Mytilus edulis: one gene and its partners. Each later gene encodes a partner of the first gene's protein in a complex. Links are inferred from orthologs where the notes say so. Each region holds a gene or a part of one and is shown in the gene's direction. Other genes may lie near its edges.

Region 1 (6,970 bases):
TTGAACTTGAAACAAAAACAAAAGTTACTTTTGAACCATATCTCCAAACAAACATAAACTAAAAAGTGACAAACATTAACCATATGATTCACTCTCAAATATATATCTCTCTGTATATCAGATCATTCAAAGTCACTTGTGTTTCACTGTGATTCAGTCAACACTCAACACTAATGTATACTGTACTAGTGATGTCACAGGTGGAAAATTTCAAATGTATGATAGTTCTTCTCTATCAAAACATTTACTGGTACATCATAAAATTGAGAATGGAAATGGAGAATGAGTCAAAGATACAACAACCCAACCAAAGAGCGGAAAACAGCCAAAGGCCAACAATGGGTCTTCAATACAGCAAGAACATTTCACACCCGGAGGTGAAAAACATTACAAACCTTCCATTCAATATTTCTCAAAAAGACTCAAAAGAATATCAACAGAAAAATACTCACTGAATTTTTTGCTCCTACAATAAACACTGATGATTCTTCTCCAGTAGCACCTTCAGCTAAAATGACAACATATAATTTTCCAGAGGTTTCAAAATTCATTGCTATTTTATTTACTTTTTAAATTGAGATGAAGATTTATTTTTATTTTGAGGTCATCAACTCTCCATAGAATAACTTTATTAAACCACGTGGCAATGACCTTCTAGTCAGAATTTTGAGAATGGGGTATGTCCTCGCAAAATTTTAATGAATTTTATTAAAATCATTTAGGTGTAAATATTCTTCATTGTATGTGCTAAGGGTTGTCTAATACTTGCAGTGATGCAGTGAATTTTTTTTTGCTCCATGCTGAAGGTCTCAATGTGACTATCAGATGAAGAACAACAATAAAAGCGCTGTTCCTTTGCTATGTGTTTTTTTCATTGATTTAAATTTTGTGTCATAGATGGATACCAGTTCACATATCTTTTCTTTTCTGTATTGTATCCATAATCTCAACATTACATTATAGAGAATAAATTGCTTCGCTGAGCGCAGCTGAATACAACCGCAGAGGTACAGCCCTGAACAGTTGGGGCAAAAATGGAGACAATACTCACGCTTGATACAGGTCTGAATTTGGATTGTAATTAAATATTTGACACACAATAGGTTTCTGACACAGAATAACTGTAGTCAATGAGCTTAGAATTGGTTATATGGTTTGAATTATTTATATATTTTTTTACATGTCCAAAACCTGACATTTCTTTTTACATATTTTACAAGTAGTGTAAGGGAGGTTAATCAAAACATAGACAACATTGTATTTTAAATGTAATTGGATTACCTCCCTTACACTGGTTTTAAATTGTCTTAATTGTCCATTAACCAGAAAAACTAGTTTTCCCTCTTTTTTTGCCCCTAATTTCTAATTTGTTTGAGCCATAACCTCCCAAAGTCAATCCTAACATGATATAGTATTATACGACGCAAAAATTGTTTTGCGGTCGTATAATAAATACTGATATCATACCTTTACTTTCATTTGATTCCTGTATTGCAACATCCCATAAAGATTTTTCTAGTCTGAAAGCAAAGATTTTTTTTTCCATTAAAATATCTGTAACTATAGATCATATATATGCATTTTTAGCACTACAAATTTTGTATTGGTTTTCTGTATTTCTTGTCCTCTGTTTAATGTATTCACCACTTGTCTATCATGCTTTGACAATTTAGAGTTTATAATAGTATGTAGGAACTTTGATTAAAAATAGTCTAGATAAGTTTATATAATATCTATTTTTAAGTTATCCTTTGTTTTTTATACATCTTTCTTGGCAAACAGTTACTGTATTATACCATGTATACCAAGACAGGAGGCTTTGTAACTCCAAAGCCTGCATTTCTCACCTGGCTATCATTATTTTAGTGTTACCTTATCAGAAAATACAACTAATCTAGGGACCTTATTGTTATTTGGGATTCTGCAACACTTAAAATTTTGACATTGTGCAACAATCTCTTTTCCTAATACACCTTATCGCTAATCCTGGCTGACCCGGCTGCTTGAACTTTTGACGCATACAACAATCACTTTTCCATTGTGGCGTCAGATATTTTGTTTTATGACGTCAACTTTTTACAGGAACCCGTGTGATATCCAGTAATGGCGGACAAAAAAGCGATAAGGTGTATTGTGAAACAGTATATCGAATATCAATATATATATGTTCCTAGTGGCATCAGACAATTTCTATTGTGACATCAAAATTTTAAGGTGACCAAGTTGTGATGTCCAGTAATATGATTAATATGGGACAATGTCCCCAATTACGGTAGAAAAATCAATTAAAAAAAAAAAAAAATCGGGAAAATTTCCTGAATTTTTCATTCTACTAATGAACTCAAAATCGTTAACTTTTTTTTTCAGATCTACTTCCGTTTCCAGTTTCTTCCGTTTCCGATCTTGTTTGCATGAGACTTTGAATAAAATATATATTTATCAACATATCAACAAAAATATAGGAAGGAATTCAACACCTAATCATTTTTAATAATTGTTTGATATGAAAAAACATTACCTGGATAACAGCGTTTCTTTGTTTACATTGAATATGACGTCATAACTTAAATAACGTCACAACTAAATCCCTAACAACAGAACCAATATTGGAAACATTATGGTATTTCCGTTTCTTTTATCAACATGTTTGAATTCAAAAAAAAAAATACAGACTTCGTCCCCATTCACAGGTTATATGCCTGCCTTATATTAATGGCAGACAAATAGCGATAAGTAGAATGAAGTACCGGTACATGTACGGTGTAGTCTGGTGTATCAGTGCACCTAAGACTTATAACTTCACTTTATCATGTTTATCAAAATGATAAAACCTTGCATTGGATAATATTGTGTGAAACAATTCATTACATACTTTAATTTCATAAAATCTTCTGTATGTATGGTTTCACCTTTTTAACATTTTGAGTAAAGTGTGTCCAAAATTTGGGAAACCCCTGTTTTGAGAGTTCTTCAAATAAATAAATTTGGTGTATATACTGTCTTCTGATTGGTTAAAATTTTTAGTTTTATTATTAATGTTGTCAATTTTGAAGACGACACGCCCACTCTGACGTTGTTAATATATATAATATAAAAAGTTCTTTGAGCCTTATTTTTGATAGAAATTTATTTATAATGAATGGCAATAATCTATTGCGGATTATTCAATGTGAAGAGTCAAAAATTAGTTTTATGGTTCAATAAATTCAAAGTAAATAATAGCCATTCATTAAATGTTTATTCTAATGCAACATCGTTTGTAACGTTCATTTTGATTGGATAACGTCACTTATTTACATGGCATCAATTGTCAATTGATGCTATGGGACGTACGCGCAAGGGCAGACGGCATATGACAGATTTTAAATACATGTTTTAACGTTGTTTTCTGTTTTCAGCTAACGCGTCGCCAGTAAACTTGATTTGCGACCATCAAATCCCAAATTGATGCCGCCGGAGCTTAATATACAATACAGTTATCTCCTAAGTGATCAATTTCTTACTGTTACTCAGTGTTAGAGATATGAAGGTTGATTTTTTGTGGTTTTCAAAAGGCTGAACTCTGTAACAGAATCTTTCATGAAATTGACAGAAATTAAAAGGTGTCATGGAAGAAGAAATTCTAACCCTTTTGACATTTCTGATAGTAGATGTAAATATTCAGTGGAATGTTACTGGTTCTGTTTAGGATTTTAAACCAGTGTATTGTTTATGGTAAATGTGATAACCTAAAATTAAAAAATAAATAATGAACACAACGTACCATTTAAAAGTTTTTATTGCACAATGAAATAAGTCATTAAGTAAATAAAAGAACAAAATACCACAGAGATAATTCTGAACCTTTTTTTCTTCTTCAAAAAATATATTTTCTTGTCGGTAAAACTATTTATTTCCTTGCGGATAATCTATTCGGAAAATATTCTCACTTTAACCGGTACCGGTCTGTTACTATGACTGCTGGTTCCAGATTTATTTTCGCTCAGTGCGTTGGCTCAACCAACAATAAATAAGATCCAAACCAGTAACTGAAAAATTTAGCATATTTTATTCTGGAACAATCACTTTCGCTACACTTTCACCATGTCTAAAGCCTGGCAAGATTTCTTGAGTAGTGAAGGATTTGAACGTATCGACAGTGCAACGAAGCTGTCAGATGAGGACTTAAACGACGATCCAGAAGATGATCCATACAGGTAAATAGCCTAGCTTCATGCATCCATCTCAACCGACACTGTCAGTGAGTGTCACTGGAAGACTCTGCCAGTGACAGTGTCGGTTGAGATGGATGCATGTGCCAGACATAAATGTATGCCTCGATTTATGCACATGCACTTGTTTCATTTGATGGTAGAGGTCTTCCTTTTCCGTTTCACATAAAACAAGTGCCAGTGCATTTTTTGAATTTTTTTTAGAAGACCTACAATGACCTACAATTACATGTATTTATAATTTAAAGTCAGTTGTAAGTGTATATAGGAGAGTGTTAATGCCCTTTACCGTCAGGCGTCAAACGGTCATTACTGGCTACGGTTAATGTCAAATTGTTTAACTTTTTACCGTGATTCGTCAAATGTCTCAAAAATAATTACGTTACCATTATTTTGGGGGGAAAAATAGCGTGATTTGTCAAATTCCGCTGATTGTTATATCGTCTAAAAGAAAGTGTACATTTTATTGTCATGCACTAAAAATTATCGTTAACATCATTTGGCAAGAATTTTTACCGTTATACGTCATGAAGGTATCCCCATTACTATCCTCATATAGGGTATAGTAGACTTCCACAAAAGAATTTGGTCAGTTCGCCTACATTCGTGCCCTTTCATGTTCACCCCCTTTCACTTTCGCACCCTAGACATTTGCAACCAAAGTCTGTTCGCTCCCTAAATGTTTGCACTTTTTTTTATATAATTTTGTAATCAAGTTTTTGTGCCTTTGGCGCAAGTCATGTTTCCATGGTTAGTGTATTGCTATAGACATTTTTTTTTTCATTGTTTCAAAATAAAGTCATGTAAGTGAAAATCTGACAATGTTTTGGTTTTTTTTTGTGTTGAATAAATAACTATGTTTTGGTTTAAATAGTGCATTGCTATACACAAAAAAAATCATTGTTTCTAATATAAATAAAGTGGGAACAAACATGACAAAGGGATCAAGCTGTTCAAAAATATGTTTTATTCATACTACATTTTACTTACACAATGTAACTAAATACATGCAGTATTTACTTCAAAGCAGGCTAAAACAACAACCAGATTTTCAAACACACAATAATAATACCTTTGGCTGTGTATGAATAGCAATTATCAGCAATCATACATAATTAACCTTGAATAATTAATCATCAAATCAATAATAAAAAAAAGAAAAAAAACACATATTTCACATAATAATTCCTAAATTTTAATTTTGGTAGAATAAATTTGTACATGTATAAAAAAAAATCTAATAATGCAACTGGAATTTGAATAAGAATTGGGTCGAAAGTTTATGGGGCGAACATGTGGGATGTGAAAGTGTATTGGGCGCAAATGGACCTGATACAGCTACACCATGTACACAGTGACTATACTATTCAGTTAATACTATACATTACATTGTTACGTGTATATTCAAATCAACCCTCGTTCTTGGTGCCACGAGAAACACTTGTGACTATACAAGGACCTATTCATAACATTAACTGTATTGTTTTCAAATTAAACATTCACAAAATGTAAAAGATTATATACTTTAATAATACTAATATTGCTCTTCAGTAATGAACAGGTGCTTGCATGAATTAAAGGCAGAGGCTATTTTGTAGGCACTGATTAAAATATCTAAATTCAAGCTGCAGAAATGGCTATTTTACTGGCACCAGCAATAAAATAATAACTGTGTTATTTGCCTGTACTTTGTAAAGAGGAAATTTGATTTTGCTTTTGAAAAGTTCTATGAAAATGTGCACTGTCAACTTAAAAGAATTAAATAATTACTGATACACCAGTATTTCAATAAGAAAACAGCCAGGAACATATAAACAGATATACTGACATATACTGTTCCCAGAAACAGCTAATAATATTTGAGATACAAAAATGTACATATAATTGTTTAAAAACATTTATCAGTCAAAGTTAAAAGAAAAAAAATCATAAAGAGCATCCCATTTGTTGCAATGAAATTGTATCAAACCATGTACATGCAGCTGAAATAATTTCGAAAATCAGTCACACACTCTATATAATGCTACATGTATGCATAAGAATTAAAAAAAGGTTTTTTTCTTTATTTTATAAAAAAAAATATACATGTTAAAAATTTCAGTGCATCAACAATTTAATAAAAAATATAAAAAAGTCAACCACAGACATGTACAAAAATGTTTGAATTCAACTAACTTGCTTTTGAAATAATAGTCAGTTCTTTGAAATGTATATATGTCATGTATGTGTAAACAAAATTATAAACCATTTCTATAGAAAAAAGCTATTTTAATTTGACTTCTTGAATTTAGATATTTAATCAGAGCCAGCAAAATTTGAAATTGTTATTTTATTTTGCTGATGCGGGCAAAATAGCCACAGCCTAAATTAAAAGTTAACACCAAAAGTTATTTAAATAAAGAACTAATATCCATTGTAAAAATCAATTCACAACCAAAGTATTGCCATGTGGTATAAATTCATAACCCCATATTACTCTATAGTATATAAGTTCAAGGTCATCTAATTAGCAAACCTGACATTTATATGTATGAAGTACACAATCAAAAAGCTGTAACAGAAACTACATACATTTTTGTCGAGCCTTCGACTTTATTCGAAAAAGCGAGACTAAGCGATCCTACATTCCCTCGGCGTCGTCGGCGGCGGCGTCCACAAATATTCACTCTGTGGTTAAAGTTTTTGAAATTTTAATAACTTTCTTAAACTATACTGAATTTCTACCAAACTTGGACAGAAGCTTGTTTATGATCATAAGA
Region 2 (7,809 bases), on another chromosome or scaffold:
AGTGCTTATATTATTTACCTGTGTTGAATTTACAACAAGTTTATCAAATCTCGTCTCTAACTGACCTTTTAGCTTTACGGATATTGTGCACGACGGTTGCCACTAGGGGAGCAGAAACTGGCCACTCTCGTTTTTAACAGTCAAAGTCGTGTTATTGTGGATTTTTTTTTTTTGGTCCATGATATTGCTGTAATGTAAGTTTATCTCTTGGTATCTGCACTCTCTTTTGCAAAAATCCCAGGAGGGGCTGGATTTTTTTAAGGGGGTGGGGGGGGGGGGTGTTCATTTCTGTGATCTTTATTTTTTAGGCCATTTTTCTCTATTCTTAATACTTTTTGTAAATTCATTATTCTCTATTCTCTTTTCTTTCTTTTATTAGTTACTTTTCTCTCTTCTTAATACTTTTTGTAAATTCATTATTCTCTATTCTCTTTTCTTTCTTTTATTAGTTACTTTTCTCTCTTCTTAATACTTTTTGTAAATTCATTATTCTCTATTCTCTTTTCTTTCTTTTATTAGTTACTTTTCTCTCTTCTTTATTTTTTTGTCCAATACTCTCTATTCTGTAAACCTCCATATTGAACTAGAAGACGACACTTAACTGCATGTGTCAAATCAAAGAAACAGAAATTCCGAGGAAGTAAACAACAATCATTGAAAAAACAGGTAGTCGAATATGGTCACAAAATAAATTTGTATACGGAAATAGAGACATAGGGTGCCTTATTTGAATACAATTTATGAACAAACTATAAAAATTAGTTGGAAAGGGTCCAACTCATCAAATCGAGACTAAGCACAGAAAAAAACCCAACAAAAGACAAGCAACGATATAAGTGTACTCGCAATCACAGGTCGATCAAAACCGAATAAATAAATAAAAAAAAAAGATATGTAGTATGATTGCCAATGAAGAGTAGATATGGTGTGTGTCACAGTGTATGCAATTGTAGTAAAGACATATATTGTGTGAAAGTCCTAGAGATAGATTGTGTAGAAGTGTAGTGTAGACAGTCGAAAAGTTATGACTGTCAACAGAAATGAAGGAACCATCAATAGCACGAACGTTATCTATGACACCCAACAAAGAGTTTTTTACACCAAAAATAACTTAATTTGTCATGATATTAGCAAGATGCTGTTACGAAGTCCCCATGAATATCTGCCCCGGATGACTTGTCATCAGATGGTTTTAGAGAAGTAGGTCAAAGAAGAAGAAACTTTGTTTGGAAGACTTGAATGCTCAATATAATTAAAAAATAATCTTTGATAGAAGTCAGGGATCTGTTTAAAAGGTTATACATATCAGTTGTTGGACACTTACTGTAAGCCGAGATGAAACGATAGTTGTGGGGTTTGGTTGCGCGCTTACAAATGTGTTTAAAGCAACAAACAACCAATTAATCAGTCTCTTTTGAATTATTTCACATTTGGCATACCTCGCTATACTCATGATATAGGGTTTGTTCATTGTTGAAGACCTTGCGGTGACCTGTTCTTCAAACAGTCAAACCTCATCTAACTATGTTTTAATAAATATATCTATTGAAAAAAGGCGAGTGATAGCTATATGATTTTTTGCTGAAGTTGCCAAATTTGAAAATATGCTCACCAATTCCTCTATTCAGAACGCTATGAAAATACAATAATTCAAACATAAATGATTTAACGAGTTCAAGTGTATATTTTAATAGTTAATTGAAACTAGTATTGTCCAATGGACAACAAGTTCTCTCCAATGTTCCAAACATTATCTGGAATGTCTTGTTCAATCTGAAATCCAAGTTTAGGGTAATTTTTGACACGTTGGAGACAACCAACCATCATTTCCATTATTTTATCCAAATTACCGACATCATCGTTAGGGTATGACATTAAATCTATGGCAGGCGACGTAACACAAACTTTGTCTAACTGATTCATGCCGCCAGGCCACTGCTTAGCAAATGTTGCATATGTTCGTCTCTCCATAAACGGCATCTGAACCAAAATTATTGTTTTAACTGAATCCAGTAGACCAATCTTCTCAAGTATTTTATATGAAAATGTTACATTTTCTCCGGTGTTAGTTGCTTCTTCCTCCAAAAGAATCTTTTCCTCTGGTACACCCTGACTAACGGCAATATCTTTGAATATTTGTGCCTCAGGTTTTAGCCATTTTCCTGCAAAATAAAAATTAATCAAAATATCTCCTATTTGTTCTCAGAAATAAACGCAGAGCGAAAAAATACATTTTCAGTTAGTATTATAGGAATATCATACAAGCTTTCCATGTCCAGAGAATTATAAATGTTTGTCGTTTATAAGGCACATACCCCTTGAATCAAATCTCCACACTTAAAAAAATATATAGAAATGTATAGAATAAAAGCGACTATACAGTAACAACCAGTCCACAAGGCTCTGACCGGTCAATAAACGATATAAGTATACATTTCTTTTTCAATGAGGGAGTACTCGAATGCTACTAAAATATCCAACCTTACCTTTTGTAAGTGTTCCTTCATTCCCAGTAATCATCAACCATTTAGCAAATCCATCTAACCACAATTTTGAAGCATATTCTATTGTCCTTATATCAGGATTCCCGAATACGATAATCAAATCGCTCTAAAAAAGGAAAAAAATCCGCTAAAATCAATCAGTCAAAATGACAATAGAAGAAAATGACAATTTTAATAAAATCTAGAAATAATTTGGCAAGAACAAAATTAGATTTTGAATATTTATTAATCTGAATCAAGTTTTTTTGAATTACAATGGTAAAATTTGATTGCCGATGATCGACATGATCAGTCTGGTTATATAATCATGGACCGTTGAAATTCCTAATATCATTGACAATTAACATTATGTAAAATAACAAGTACACTGACATTAAACTCCTCCTAGAAAAAACCTGATTATTTGGTCATGGTGTTTTACGGTAATGTAAAAGGGGTATTGATCTGTGATGGACTAACGACGGTCAAACACGCAGAGCAGAGCACATAATACGTACTAACTAACAATTAAAGGTCAGAAAAAGGAGAAAATATTAAACAAGGATGTGTTCCTTCTAAATGGCTATAGCGAATGCTTGTACCACTCATTGATAATCAAATGCATTTAACAGAATGATATGTCAAATGGATAACACTAACATTTTTCGGCCGACTACACCAGAGGTGTTTGGAAATGGGCCCGAATCGATTCAGTGAACTAGAAATATACAATTCAGGCTGTTCATCCCATAACGCATGTGATCTTCGTTCAGAAAAAAATAATAGAATAAAGATTAGGTTAGAATAACAGACTTACGGTGACCTATAGTTGTTAATGTTTGTGTCATTTTGGTCTCTTGTGGACAGTTGTCTGATTGGCAACTATACCACATCTTCTTTTTTATATTTTCTTCTGCATGACTCGGCATATATATAACATATAAAACATAGTAAGCTATTATGTGCATCAATCTAACTAAAATATTGATCTCTGATTTCTTTATACTACATATGAAGTATAACGAAATCAAGGATCAATATTTTAATTAGATTGTAATGTGCATATAATATCTATCTGGTTAAACTCTTGTAGTATCATACTTTTAAATCGTGAAATTATTTGATATGCCCCCAAAAAAACCACGAAAATAAAACCCAATGGATTCACATCTTTAGTATCCTAGCATCAGTGGTGAAGTTTCCCTGGAAAATCGATTTGTATATAAACTATAGATTATAAATATCATGAGCAAAAGAGATGGAAAGACAATTGACACTAACATGACTAACTAGGTAAAGTATTTAGCATTTTTAAATCGAAATTGTGAGAAACCAGGGTCAAAGGGGCACTGTCTGAAATAAAAATGAAAATGAAAGATTGACGAGACTCTTCAGTGACTAACCTCAAGACTTAAAGACCACCATGCACATCTTATTTTCAATCTCCCCCTTAACCACTGGAAACTCATATATATATATATATAAGAGGGGGAGGACAGGGGGTACCCTTCTCCCTTCTCCCACCCCTCTTCTCCTTTCTCCTACCCCGGTTCTCCTTTCTCCCATTAGATTAAAACATCTCCTTTTGAGATATTTTTTTTGAAATATTAGATCATTTTTTAAAAGGAGAGATATTTTATTTTTTCTCCTTTCTCCAACTTTTTCTCCTTTCTCCCAGCCTTCCTCTCCTTTCTCCTACACCCTTTCTCCTTTCTCCCACCTCCTTTCTCCTACCCCCTTTCTCCCTGTCTCCCTTACCCCTGTCCTCCCCCTCATATAAGATACTCGGTGGTTCTTCAAGTTTTGTTTGGAGTTAAACTTCGGATACATCTGGCTTTCTAAATGTACCAGCGTCATTTCTTTAAGTTTTATTTCATTCTAGTTTCAATGTATCGTTTGAATCCGTGTTATTACCCACATAAATATTTTATACAAGAAATTATAATTTTTATCAGTCTAAACGACTCTAAATCACATGCTATAATATTTGGAAATTTACCTTTTCGAGTGTATGGTTGAGTTTCAAATAGTTCCATATAACTTCTGCCTGGTTAATTGACTCCTCATTTGGCATTTTACTTTTTTCATTCTTTAAGAAAATGCGTAGTGAAGATGCATGTGATGTTGAATGGAATAAAACGTGACGTTAGGGATATCCTTTCGAATTATGACGTCATGACATTGTGCTATAAATAAAATAGAAAATCCCAATACAAATTTTCGTAAATGACATATTAAATTTCACAATAATAGTTCAAAAATTCAAATACTCACAATAAAATGAATCGGATGATTTTGAATATACATTTATATTTTTAGAATTCATCTTTACGAAACTAATAAATAAATCGGCGCGCCATTTTTAAAAGAGCACAACATTTGCAACGTACACTTTTTGCTTTTTATACAAATGACAGGTAAACAAAATACTTTTTTGAAAAAAAACCTGCATTATTATAAGTAACACCACCATAAAATACAGTTAAACAGTATAAACATTTCCTTATTTGTAAAAAAAATAGATTTCGAAAATCAAGGTAAAATGCCTCAACATTCACAACTCAACACTTGCTGGACTTGTCAACAGACAACACGAAAATCCTACAGAAAACCGACTATATAAGAACTCATCATGCCTATGAAGAGTAGCAAGAGAATGTTTGCACAGAGTAACTTCACTGATCCCTATTTATATTCATTGACTGATTGCAAGTTTTAATACCACAAAAAAAGTCCAAATCCTTGGACCTTTCATTTAATATAAACATAATCATTGATAATGGAAAAGCACTTTACACCCATATTGGCCAATGGCTTAAAACATTATACATAATATACAGTTAACATGTACATGATATATAAAACAATGAAAATAAACAATGCAGACACTTTGAACTATAATCCTTGTCTTTCTTTAAATTAATAGACGTATTTACACTTGTATGCAAATTTGTCCGCCATTACGTAAAATCACACAGGTTCCCGTTAACTTTGACATCATAATCATGATAATTTAAAATATTTGACGTCACAATTTAAAAGTGATTGTTGCTTGACGTCAAAAGGTGATTCGGAGGCAAGATTCAGCTTAATACCAAAAGTGTAAATACGTTTATATATATATAAGAGATTCAAATTATATCAAGGACTGAGTCTCCCTTAGTGACTTTTTTAAAAAGGAGCCTATATTGCAAGTGTCCTGTTTGGTTTCAGGATTGAGGATATGTTTAAATTTATCTATATCATTTAAGGCCAATTAAAATTAATTGATAGATTTTCATTCCCGCCCGCCCCTGTGAAAACGTCCTGCCCCGATTTTTTTTATTTTGCAAAATTTACGATTTCCGCATTGTGTTCATTTCCGTTAACGGTAACCGTCAATAATTTCGTTTCATTCGAACTTCCTGTTTATACAATTTCGGTTTTCATACTTCTTGTTTCGAGTACTTTAAAACGATTATGTTGACAAAATCTGCTGCTCAATGATGACAGAATAATCTACGGAGAATATATAAAGATTACCAGAAGGGCATGAAATATTCGGGTTACGAGTATTAAATACGCTGTGTCCAACGCAAATCGCGGTATGTCTCAAATTGGAAATTTCTTTCATCAGAAAATTGTGGAGTTATGTAATAATACATTGACTTTGTGTAAGCAAATGTGGGCTGTGAAGGATTTCCAAATTTCAAGAATCGTGGAACAAATTGGTAGAAAAAAAAGAGTTCAAAAAGTCGGCAAACATACACATTATGTAATAGAAAACCCTTAGATTTACCTATGGCTATTGTTTTTGTTTAAAAACACAAAATACCATTTACAATGTAATTATATATGTGTCACTTCTTGCATAACTTGAGAATCTTAAAAGCGCCAACTTTACTTTTCCTGGCAACACTTGTTTGAGTGTTCATTTTATTCATAATACTTGTGCTGCATACCATTGCATTTGCATAAGTTTATGGGGACTACAAACCATTGCTTAGAGAGCAAAATAAATTTGGAGTTGGTAGTCAAATGAATAGAGAATTTCTCCATGGTTTTACTGTTTGCTGAAAATATGTTTCTAAAGTAGCAATTGCATGTAGAACAGTCCGCGTTGCAAATCAGAGATGTTTATTCAAGAATTATGTACGATTCTTTATACATGTTTAAACATTTACATGGTATAAGCTAAATTTTGTAATTATATCACTTGCATATATATGAAGTTCATGCCACAAGAAGGTTTCAAATTGAATAAAATTTAAAAAATAAAATCCTCCCACCCGCCCCATTTTTTTCAAAACTTTGGATGAAAATCTACTAATTAATTTTAGTTGGCCTAAGTTATATTTATTTTCATTTAAAAATTCTTTTCTTAATCATTCATTTATTTTACATTTAAAAAAGAAATGAAACTCATCATCTAGTACATCACAATGTTTACATAGTCTTAAATCTCTGGGAATTTTCCAGTATCTACCAGTTTCTATTAACAGTGATTAATAAGCAGTGGTCACTTATTCGAAATTTACGAATTAGTTGTCTATATTCATGATATTTAAAGTTTTGAGAAAGTAGGTATGGTTCAAAGTTATAGCTTTTCTTTATTTTTTTTAAAAGTTGCAGTTTGCTATTCTCTTGTAAATTTAATATTTAATCATTATATAAATTTTCATAGGAGTTTTCTAAATTTTGTTTGTATATTAGCCTATTATTTTTATCCTTATTTTGGTTAACAATTTCTAAATCATTTTGACTTCTGACATGATTTACATATGAGTACCAAGAATAAATGCCTGCATTATGTAAAGTTTTTGCCAAATTTAGTGTCTCTTTTAGTAAGGGGCTAGTTTCTTCCCTTAATAGTCTATTATGGAAAAGAAGAGTTTGTCTTTTTATAAAGCAATCAATAGGGTAGCTGCCTAATTCAGATCGAGCAGCTATATTACAAGAGCATTTTTTTTACTCCTAAAGTTAACTTATTAAATTTATTTAGTACTTTATCAGGTGGACTTTTGTCAATGAAATTAAGAGTATCTACTTTTTTTTATTATTTTTATCTCCTTTTAAATAATTGAAGCTTTATAAAAGGATGAGTATGCATCCATATATCATATTTTAGTTTTACTGAATTAGATGATGAATATATATTCATTTTGTTTCTGCATTAAACATGTAAAGAAAATAAACTTAACAATTAATCCTCAGATGTGAATAGCCCTGATAATTACTTATTTAAACGGTTAAGGTAATTTCCTTCAAAAGTATTTTTTCAAGTATATCACTACAATATTCTTGATGTTTGTGTGAATAATGTTTTGCTGTGTGAATTGAAAAAATG
Region 3 (7,411 bases), on another chromosome or scaffold:
TGGATTTCTAAAATATGAGGATTGCTGATTGTACTAAACATTACTAACATAGAAACAATAATAACAATATTTCCTAAAAAAAACCCACAATTGGTGTATTTCTGAATACTTACTACATTAACATATAGTGTTATTAAAAATGTACCAATAGATGGTTTGCAACTTTGATTTCAAAACTTTTGAGTAATTATTCAAAAACGAATTAGGACTTTTTTACCAAAACCAAATTATTGCGGAAGTATTTCCTTATATTAGCTTTAAAATACATATTATCTTTAGTATAGTTAAATTGATTGATGGGTGTAACAATTCTTGAATATCAATACTGGAGCAGTTATTTCCAGATCTGGTATACATTTTTAATGAACTCTGAGACAATGCAGAGCTTGACACATTGTATAGACACCTGACTTGAAGTGATGCTCTATATTGGATGTATGTTGGCTGTGTCACTTGTTGCTGTCTAATTGACGTTTACCCACACATTGGCGTATAGACCGGCGTGCACAAAGACAAGACAAGACAATTTTATTCTTTAAAACCACTGTATACACATTGGTACAAAGAATGAAATAATAATACATAGTATACAAAATAAATTGCGTACAGAGAAAATTGATAAAGTCCGTTTACCTTAGTTGCACGTCAGGGGAACGCTTTAGCAATCGTTAAACGTGCGTTGCATACGTTTGAAGTACGTCGAAATGCAGAGATATACACTTGGTTCAACGCTAAAACTCCAAGAAATCAGCCCAAGCGTTTGCCAAGCGTTAATACATGTACGCCACAAACGCGTTTCAACGCTACAGATAAGTTTGAGACACGTTTAGGGCACGTGTATACAAGATAGTTCGGCTCTAACTAAAACGTATGCGGGTATGTTTGTAACAAACACCCCATAATTAAACGTCCCAGACACGCCGAAAGCAAAGATTATCGTCCCAGATACGACCGGGACGCGTTTCAAAAACGTTACTTTTAAGGTGGTACCCAACGCTTTCACTTAAATTAATTTGGCTCATTTAATTTTCATAAAATTTTGACAAAGTATTTACTCTAACCCTTTGACAAAAAGATAAAAAAAAATTAAAATTTGAACCAACCGTTTTGTCAGAAAAATTACACTGGTTATATAGCAATTTGACAAACACCAATTTTGATCAATGAGAAGCTTAATATTCCTCTTACAGCACACCATAATTACAACGTTTAGGCCAGTGACTTTACAGAGTTATCCCCCTGTAGTGTTAGGTACCACCTTAAAGAGACTTTTTTTTCTTCGTAGCGTGCACTCCATTTACGTTAGACAAACGCCTGACATACGCCAAATATGTTACTTGAAAGCCCGATAAACGCTTATGTACGTTATTCGTGCGTCTAATGCACGCTTAAAGTTCGTTCATCATACCTTGCCTTACAATAGTTACTCAAAGTCGTTTGAATTCTACTTTTTTTTATTTCCTGCTGAAATATAAAAAAGAGAGCTAATTATATCCTAGACACATAGTAAATGAAAACATTACATCAGGTTATTTTAAATCAAAAAGTACATTAATCCATAGTGTTAATGAATGTAATGTGTTTGTAACTGCTGTGAAATATATATTTTGTGACTTAATTTAATTTCAATTTGGCATTCAAAATGTGCTAAAATGGGATTTATTCTATATTTTGGAATGAAAGCATTTTACATAATTTGGATTATTTCTCAAATTATAAATATTCTATTTACCAATTTAACGTTTTTCATTTCAAGATTAACATGATTAAAGAAACTTGTTATAGTTCAAATTTTAAATAAATTTTTCGCGAAAAAATGTTGTAACACTCGAAAACAAAGAAAGATCAATATTCGGTCGAACAAACTGAGAACCACACCAGACATTTAAACCTTCTGCATGTGTAAATTATATAAAATGTGTAAATTTCTTCATGTGTATATTGGATCTATGTATAGCTTTGTAAAACACAAATCAATAATACACAACAAACAACACTCAGCTTTATACATGTTATATAAATTAGTAAAACCTAAATTGAATAAAAAAGAACGACTTACCTTTTGTCGAGTAGAAGTAGTTAAAATGTGTTCTTAGATTCATTCGGTTGATTAACAGTACCTTCATCATCAACAAGTAATAGCTTTTCTAAAAAGCTAGCCGTCTCTTAGCTGAAAAGAGCTGAAAGTGTTTGAAAATTATAAAAGGCTAATACACTTTTTCTAATTTACCAAGATTTTTTTGGATAATGTATCAACACTGGAATGGTAGGGGTGATGTCTTAACTCGTGCCTTGATCGTTTGTATCTTTTTATCGTTTTAGTCTAAACAGATATGAGGGGAGCAAGGTGTTTAACTGTTATGCTGTTATGGGGCAATTTAATTCTTTGTTATCTGTTATTCTGAAAATATATTTGCTGTTAGATGTTATTGTCTTATTCTTTGTTAGCTGTAATATGGACACTAACTATGTTATAAATTGTTGTATGTCAAAATTACACGAAAAACATGTTGATAATTGGCATGCTGTTTTACATTCTGATAAATCTGTATCGGGCAGAGGTACTTACAGACTGTTTCAGGAAAATTTTGAACCGGAAGAATACTCCAAATAGCTTTACCCTTCAGTCACAGAAGTGCTTTGGCCAAATTTAGATGTGGTGTTGCTCCCCTAAAAATTGAAACAGGGAGATATGAAAATATTGTTTTAGAAAGTAGAGTGTGCCATATATGTGACGTTTTTATTGAAGATGAAGCGCATGTTTTATTAAGATGCCCCCTTTATGACGATTTTAGAAACCATTTATATTATGTTGCTGAAACTTTTAATGATAATTTTAATACTTTAGATGATAATCAAAAGTTAGTGTTTTTATTCTCAGATGTAAATATGATACGTGTGTGTGTCAAAACCTGTCATTTGATTTTAAAAATACGTAGAAATTTTAGATATTGTAAATAGTATTTATTTCATATTGTGTATTATATCTATGCATTTTAATACTCTCTTATAATTCTGTCTAGCCCCCTCCCCGGCTGAAGGCCCCCAGACGCTCTGAGAAAAATAATGCAAGATCATGCACTCTGAGCTATTTTTTCAACAATATTCTGGTCTCATAGCAATAACAAAAATTCATTGTATTTAAGACTTTTATGTTTTAGTGATAACATTAAAAAAAGATCGATATATATATGATGGATAGAGCAAAAATCGTAATTCTCATAATCCTTAATACCGATTCTGTCTGTCTTGTATTGACAATTTGTACTTAGACTTTGGTGATTTTTTTATGACTAGATTTAAATATAGTGACAGTGCAGTATTATACTTTAAGTACTATAAAAAAGAAGATGTGGTATGATTGCCAATGAGACAACTATCCACAAAAGACCAAAATGACACAAACATTAACAACTATAGGTCACCGTACTAGTACTGTTAAAGTCGACACTAGGGACCATCTTGACCTTGTTTTACGATATTAATGATTCTTTTATTGTTGGAGACCATCCAGTAACTATCAAGATGAAGAACAGGAATTAAACTTTAACAATTGATCGTTCGTATTTTTCTATACATTGACTTTGTGTGCGATTAGGTTCCGTGCACGTGTACTCAATATTCCTTTTTTTCTGTTAAAAGAGTCTGAACATGACTTAATACAAGGGTAACCCTTCAATGTAAAAGGTCATATGGCAATACATTGTTGTTGGGTTATTTTCAATTTTTTTGATACCGTGGAATTGGTGACCATATTTCAATTTAAACCATGTCAGCTTTCTAGTTTTACCTACGAAAAAAGCCAGTTTTGTTCTCTTTTATATCAAGTTCAATTCTCCATGCAGAAACGGCGATTCATTTCTGTGTCTTGTAGCATCGTATAGTCTTAAAATATTTTCTCGCACATTGTCTGGACATCGGTTGGCATGCAACATTGCAAAACCACACGTTTACAAATGAAAATCAACACTCAGACTAAAGTCATTAAGTAGGACAATAAATTAACAAAAGACAAACCCGGGACATAGAAGTACAAACAATAGACCATCAACTCTGATAACTAAAAGTAAAATAGAAACATGGATCACGAAAAACATGAAGGGGCTACACCAGAGAGTGAAGAAAACTGGCTTCTTGCAAGACACTTTCCGTCAAAAAAATTTGACAAAATATCTTTTTGTGTAGTTTTTTTGTTGTTGTTTTTTTTGAAATTTCAAACATGAGGCTTTTGCCTCATTTGCCTCAATGTAGTTACGGCCCTGTATTTTTACTTTCACAATTAGCCAACTTGCAGTAAGCAATGTAAATGCCTCAAAAAAATAATTCCGAATATTCTAGGTAGTGTCGAAATTGATTTTGTTTTAGTTTTGAAATAAGCCAATCAGATTACTCGTTTCATGAGGCGTGGGGTTTTTAAACGGAAGATGCTAAAGATGTCAACAAACATATTTTCCCCAGTTTACGAATAATAATACCCGAGTACCTTTATTGTAAAGATAAAAAGTGTATGCAATCATAGATGTGAACAATACGTGAGTTATAAGAGGATCGGAGTAATCTAAAGGGTTATAATTTGCAGATAAAACATAATTTTGTTCTTCTGTCGTTCTGAACAGGTCAGGAATAACCACCAATTGGTGGATTATACCTGAATTGACGTATATTAAATCCACCAATTGACATATAATGGTATAGAACAATTGGTGTATAATTCTTTGTTTTTCCAAAACAAATTATTCCACCAAAATGGAGCATTTTTCTTAAAACCGTATAATGTATGGTATGAAAACTTGTCAAACATTCCTAGTTTAGTATTGTAACATAACATATTGCATTTAATCAATAATTATATTTGAAGTTTCTTCTATTGTTATCTTGTCAATTCTTGATTGGCAAATTTACCTGTCTGCAGTCATATGATCACAGTACAACTCCAGAGGTGAATGGAGCTCTTTGTTAATATGTAACTTTCATTATCGCTATTTTGTGCATTTTTCTTTTGATCTTTTTTGTGATAATTCTCATATCATGCTTCTCGCTTGAGATGGAAAAAATATCTCTAGAAACTAAGGAGGCCACGTGGCCATGGTGGCATTGCTAACAAAATTGACATGAAATTGACAACGTTGTCATAGGTAAAATAGCGATAAACAGAGATTATTATTGGTCATCTGAACTCGATTGCTGTACCAGCTCAAGCGAGAAAATCAATCTCGTTGAGATGATCAACGATAATCTATAATTATCAAAAGTCAATCATGGTCAATAGCACAAATGTTTCAACAAAAGAATTGTTATACACATGCATTCTCAAGAGATGCAGCAGGCTTTGACAAAACTGAAACTTTGGGGGACTCAATAAGGGTCATGAAATAGGTTGCAAGTTGCAAAATCATGCTCCTATCTCACACTAGCATTTAATTACAAAAAACTTGCATTATACATCAATTGGTCTATACCAATATACCCCAATTGGTGGATTACGAAGCGTGGATTATACGTCAATTGAGGTATAATCCACCAATTGGTGGTTATTCCTGACCTGCTGAAGTTTTGTCATGTCTGAGGCCTGTGGGGGTCTCACTAATTAGCGACAAGTAGGTACGGAAAGTGATTTTTTTTAAATCAACTGATCTAAGAAAACTTGACCTCATTTTAAAGGCATTGTGAAGACATTTTCAAAACAGTTTCACTTTTATCAATACACATAATAATAACGAAGAAATAGAAAATTTTCAAAATGGTATTTTTTTACTATTCTGGAAAAACTGTTTCCTCTCTTTAAAAAATAATAAAATATATTTTTTTAATCATTTGGGTCATATCTTTGTTTATTTTGCTTCTTTTACATCTTGTTAGTCAATTTCAATCCTCCATATTAGTTTTTTGGTCAAAATAGAAGCATAAAGCATGAAAATGTCAACCACTCATCAGATTCTATCGTCCAAAGTCATATAACATGACGATACCTTTATACATTCCTTTTTTCAGAGCATCAGTTGGTATATTGAAAATGAAAAGTAAAACTTTATAAACATTTGAATGTAAAGAAACAAAATATAAATATGGATATTACTCTTTATATACAAATGTATATGTTAGTGTGTGTGTATAAAAAAGAAGATGTGGTATGATTGCCAATGAGACAACTCTCCACAAGAGACCAAATGACACAGAAATTAACAACTATAGGTCACCATACGGCCTTCAACAATGAGCAAAGCCCATACTGCATAGTCAGCTATAAAAGGCCCCGAAATGACAAATGTAAAACAATTCAAACCAGAAAACTAACGGCCTAATTTATGTAAAAAAAAAAATGAACGAAAAACAAATATTTAACACATCAACAAACGAAAACCACTGAATTACAGGCTCCTGACTTTGGACACGCACGTACATTGTACATACAGAATGTGGTGGGATTTAACATGTTAGTGGGCGCCCAATCCTCCCCATGACCTCACCTGTGACAGTACAACATAAGAACGAACTATAAAAATCAGTTGTACCATGAGAGACAAGAAAAGTTTTGAAATATGTCATCTGTCTTTGTATAGTCATGATAGTTTTAGAATGTTCCCTTTTCATTAACATTCTATTTAATGAAATATTCTTATTCTTATATAGCATGTATAGTGAATGCTTATAAATAAAAATAAACAACAACCTTCTAACAATTATTCTACAGGACTAAAATACCTGTTGCACTGAAAAACAATGAAAATAATATAACATTATTTTTATTCGAGAAATTTAACAAAATAATTATGTCAGATCACTGTAAATACTTGTATGTATAAAAGTAAAATAAATTCATATCTGTATATCAGTTATAATATTTATACAGGGAAATCTGTAAACCATTCTCATTCAGGACTGAAGTTCAAAATGCATTGAATGTGAATAGCATTCAAAGTTAACTGCCGCTACTGCATGGATTCCTATGTATGTTTTTAGTTGAACATGTTGAAAATACATATATTGATTGTTAAAACCACATTATTCAGTATCCTTACTATCTCGTGTGCAATGACAAGTGGTTGAACTATCATGACTATCTTTAAATCGCAATAAACTGGCTGTATAATGCACGGCTGATTTCCAATCAAAACTAAACCAAAAGTTGTCCATGCAAGGGAAATAACTCTGTAAACACAAAAAGGAGGGTTATTTATAAAAAATAATTTTGATATGAACACAGCTGTCTAGATTTATTTATTGGACCTAATTATTTAATTAATATATTAAACTTAATAAAAAAGTACATTTTATGGCTGTATAACGTTCCCTTGTATTTTTTTTGAAACGAATGTAACTTCCAAACCCTTGTTTGTACATCAAATATTTCACCGTATTCCCGAAAATTATAATATACAGAATTATGAATATTCATATAAAATCTATCAAA

Evidence for each region. Proteins that work in one complex are often made in the same cells at the same time.
Region 2: the proteins of KIF-binding protein-like (region 1) and kinesin-like protein KIF15 are in contact, whole or in part, in a cryo-EM structure (PDB 6ZPH), measured with the Homo sapiens proteins. The link is inferred for Mytilus edulis from reciprocal best matches to the Homo sapiens genes KIFBP and KIF15. Residues at the interface, in NP_056449.1 of Homo sapiens: Lys26, Tyr33, Lys36, Ile106, Glu109, Ile147, Ser150, Glu151, Glu153, Thr208, His209, Tyr212, Tyr213, Gln216, Gln219, His220, Phe224, Gln238, Glu248, Trp249, Ile251, Asn252, Thr255, Gln258, Phe259, Asn262, Tyr415, Val416, Thr417, Glu421; in NP_064627.1 of Homo sapiens: Leu187, Glu189, Ile191, Lys192, Lys193, Arg231, Glu232, Arg235, Arg271, Met280, Arg281, Leu282, Lys283, Glu284, Ala285, Gly286, Asn287, Asn289, Arg290, Leu292, Ser293, Gly296, Gln297, Ile299, Ala301, Val303, Asp304, Val305, Gly306, His312.
Region 3: the proteins of KIF-binding protein-like (region 1) and kinesin-like protein KIF18A are in contact, whole or in part, in a cryo-EM structure (PDB 7RSI), measured with the Homo sapiens proteins. The link is inferred for Mytilus edulis from reciprocal best matches to the Homo sapiens genes KIFBP and KIF18A. Residues at the interface, in NP_056449.1 of Homo sapiens: Ser150, Glu151, Tyr212, Tyr213, Gln216, His220, Gln238, Ile251, Asn252, Thr255, Gln258, Asn262, Gly414, Tyr415, Val459, Asp460, Leu461, Asn462, Pro463, Gln464, Leu467; in NP_112494.3 of Homo sapiens: Glu181, Thr183, Gln184, Lys185, Gly186, Arg274, Phe275, Val276, Glu277, Gly278, Thr279, Asn280, Ile281, Arg283, Ser284, Leu285, Leu288, Gly289, Val291, Ile292, Arg314, Lys317, Asp318, Gly322, Asn323.

The regions. Positions count from the first base shown.
Region 1 is NC_092346.1:36,842,243-36,849,212, forward strand, and holds the start of KIF-binding protein-like, read left to right. Parts: upstream 1-3,960; 5' UTR 3,961-4,083; coding exon 4,084-4,196; intron 4,197-6,970. Other genes in the region: cytoplasmic dynein 2 light intermediate chain 1-like, read right to left, coding at 453-508, 1,468-1,520, 3,628-3,638. UniProt on the Homo sapiens protein: Activator of KIF1B plus-end-directed microtubule motor activity. Required for organization of axonal microtubules, and axonal outgrowth and maintenance during peripheral and central nervous system development.
Region 2 is NC_092348.1:48,704,808-48,712,616, reverse strand, and holds the start of kinesin-like protein KIF15, read left to right. Parts: upstream 1-4,786; 5' UTR 4,787-4,893; coding exon 4,894-4,900; intron 4,901-7,809. Other genes in the region: uncharacterized protein SCO4629-like, read right to left, coding at 1,705-2,162, 2,487-2,610, 4,483-4,557. UniProt on the Homo sapiens protein: Plus-end directed kinesin-like motor enzyme involved in mitotic spindle assembly.
Region 3 is NC_092350.1:77,030,848-77,038,258, reverse strand, and holds the start of kinesin-like protein KIF18A, read left to right. Parts: upstream 1-4,388; 5' UTR 4,389-4,565; intron 4,566-7,411.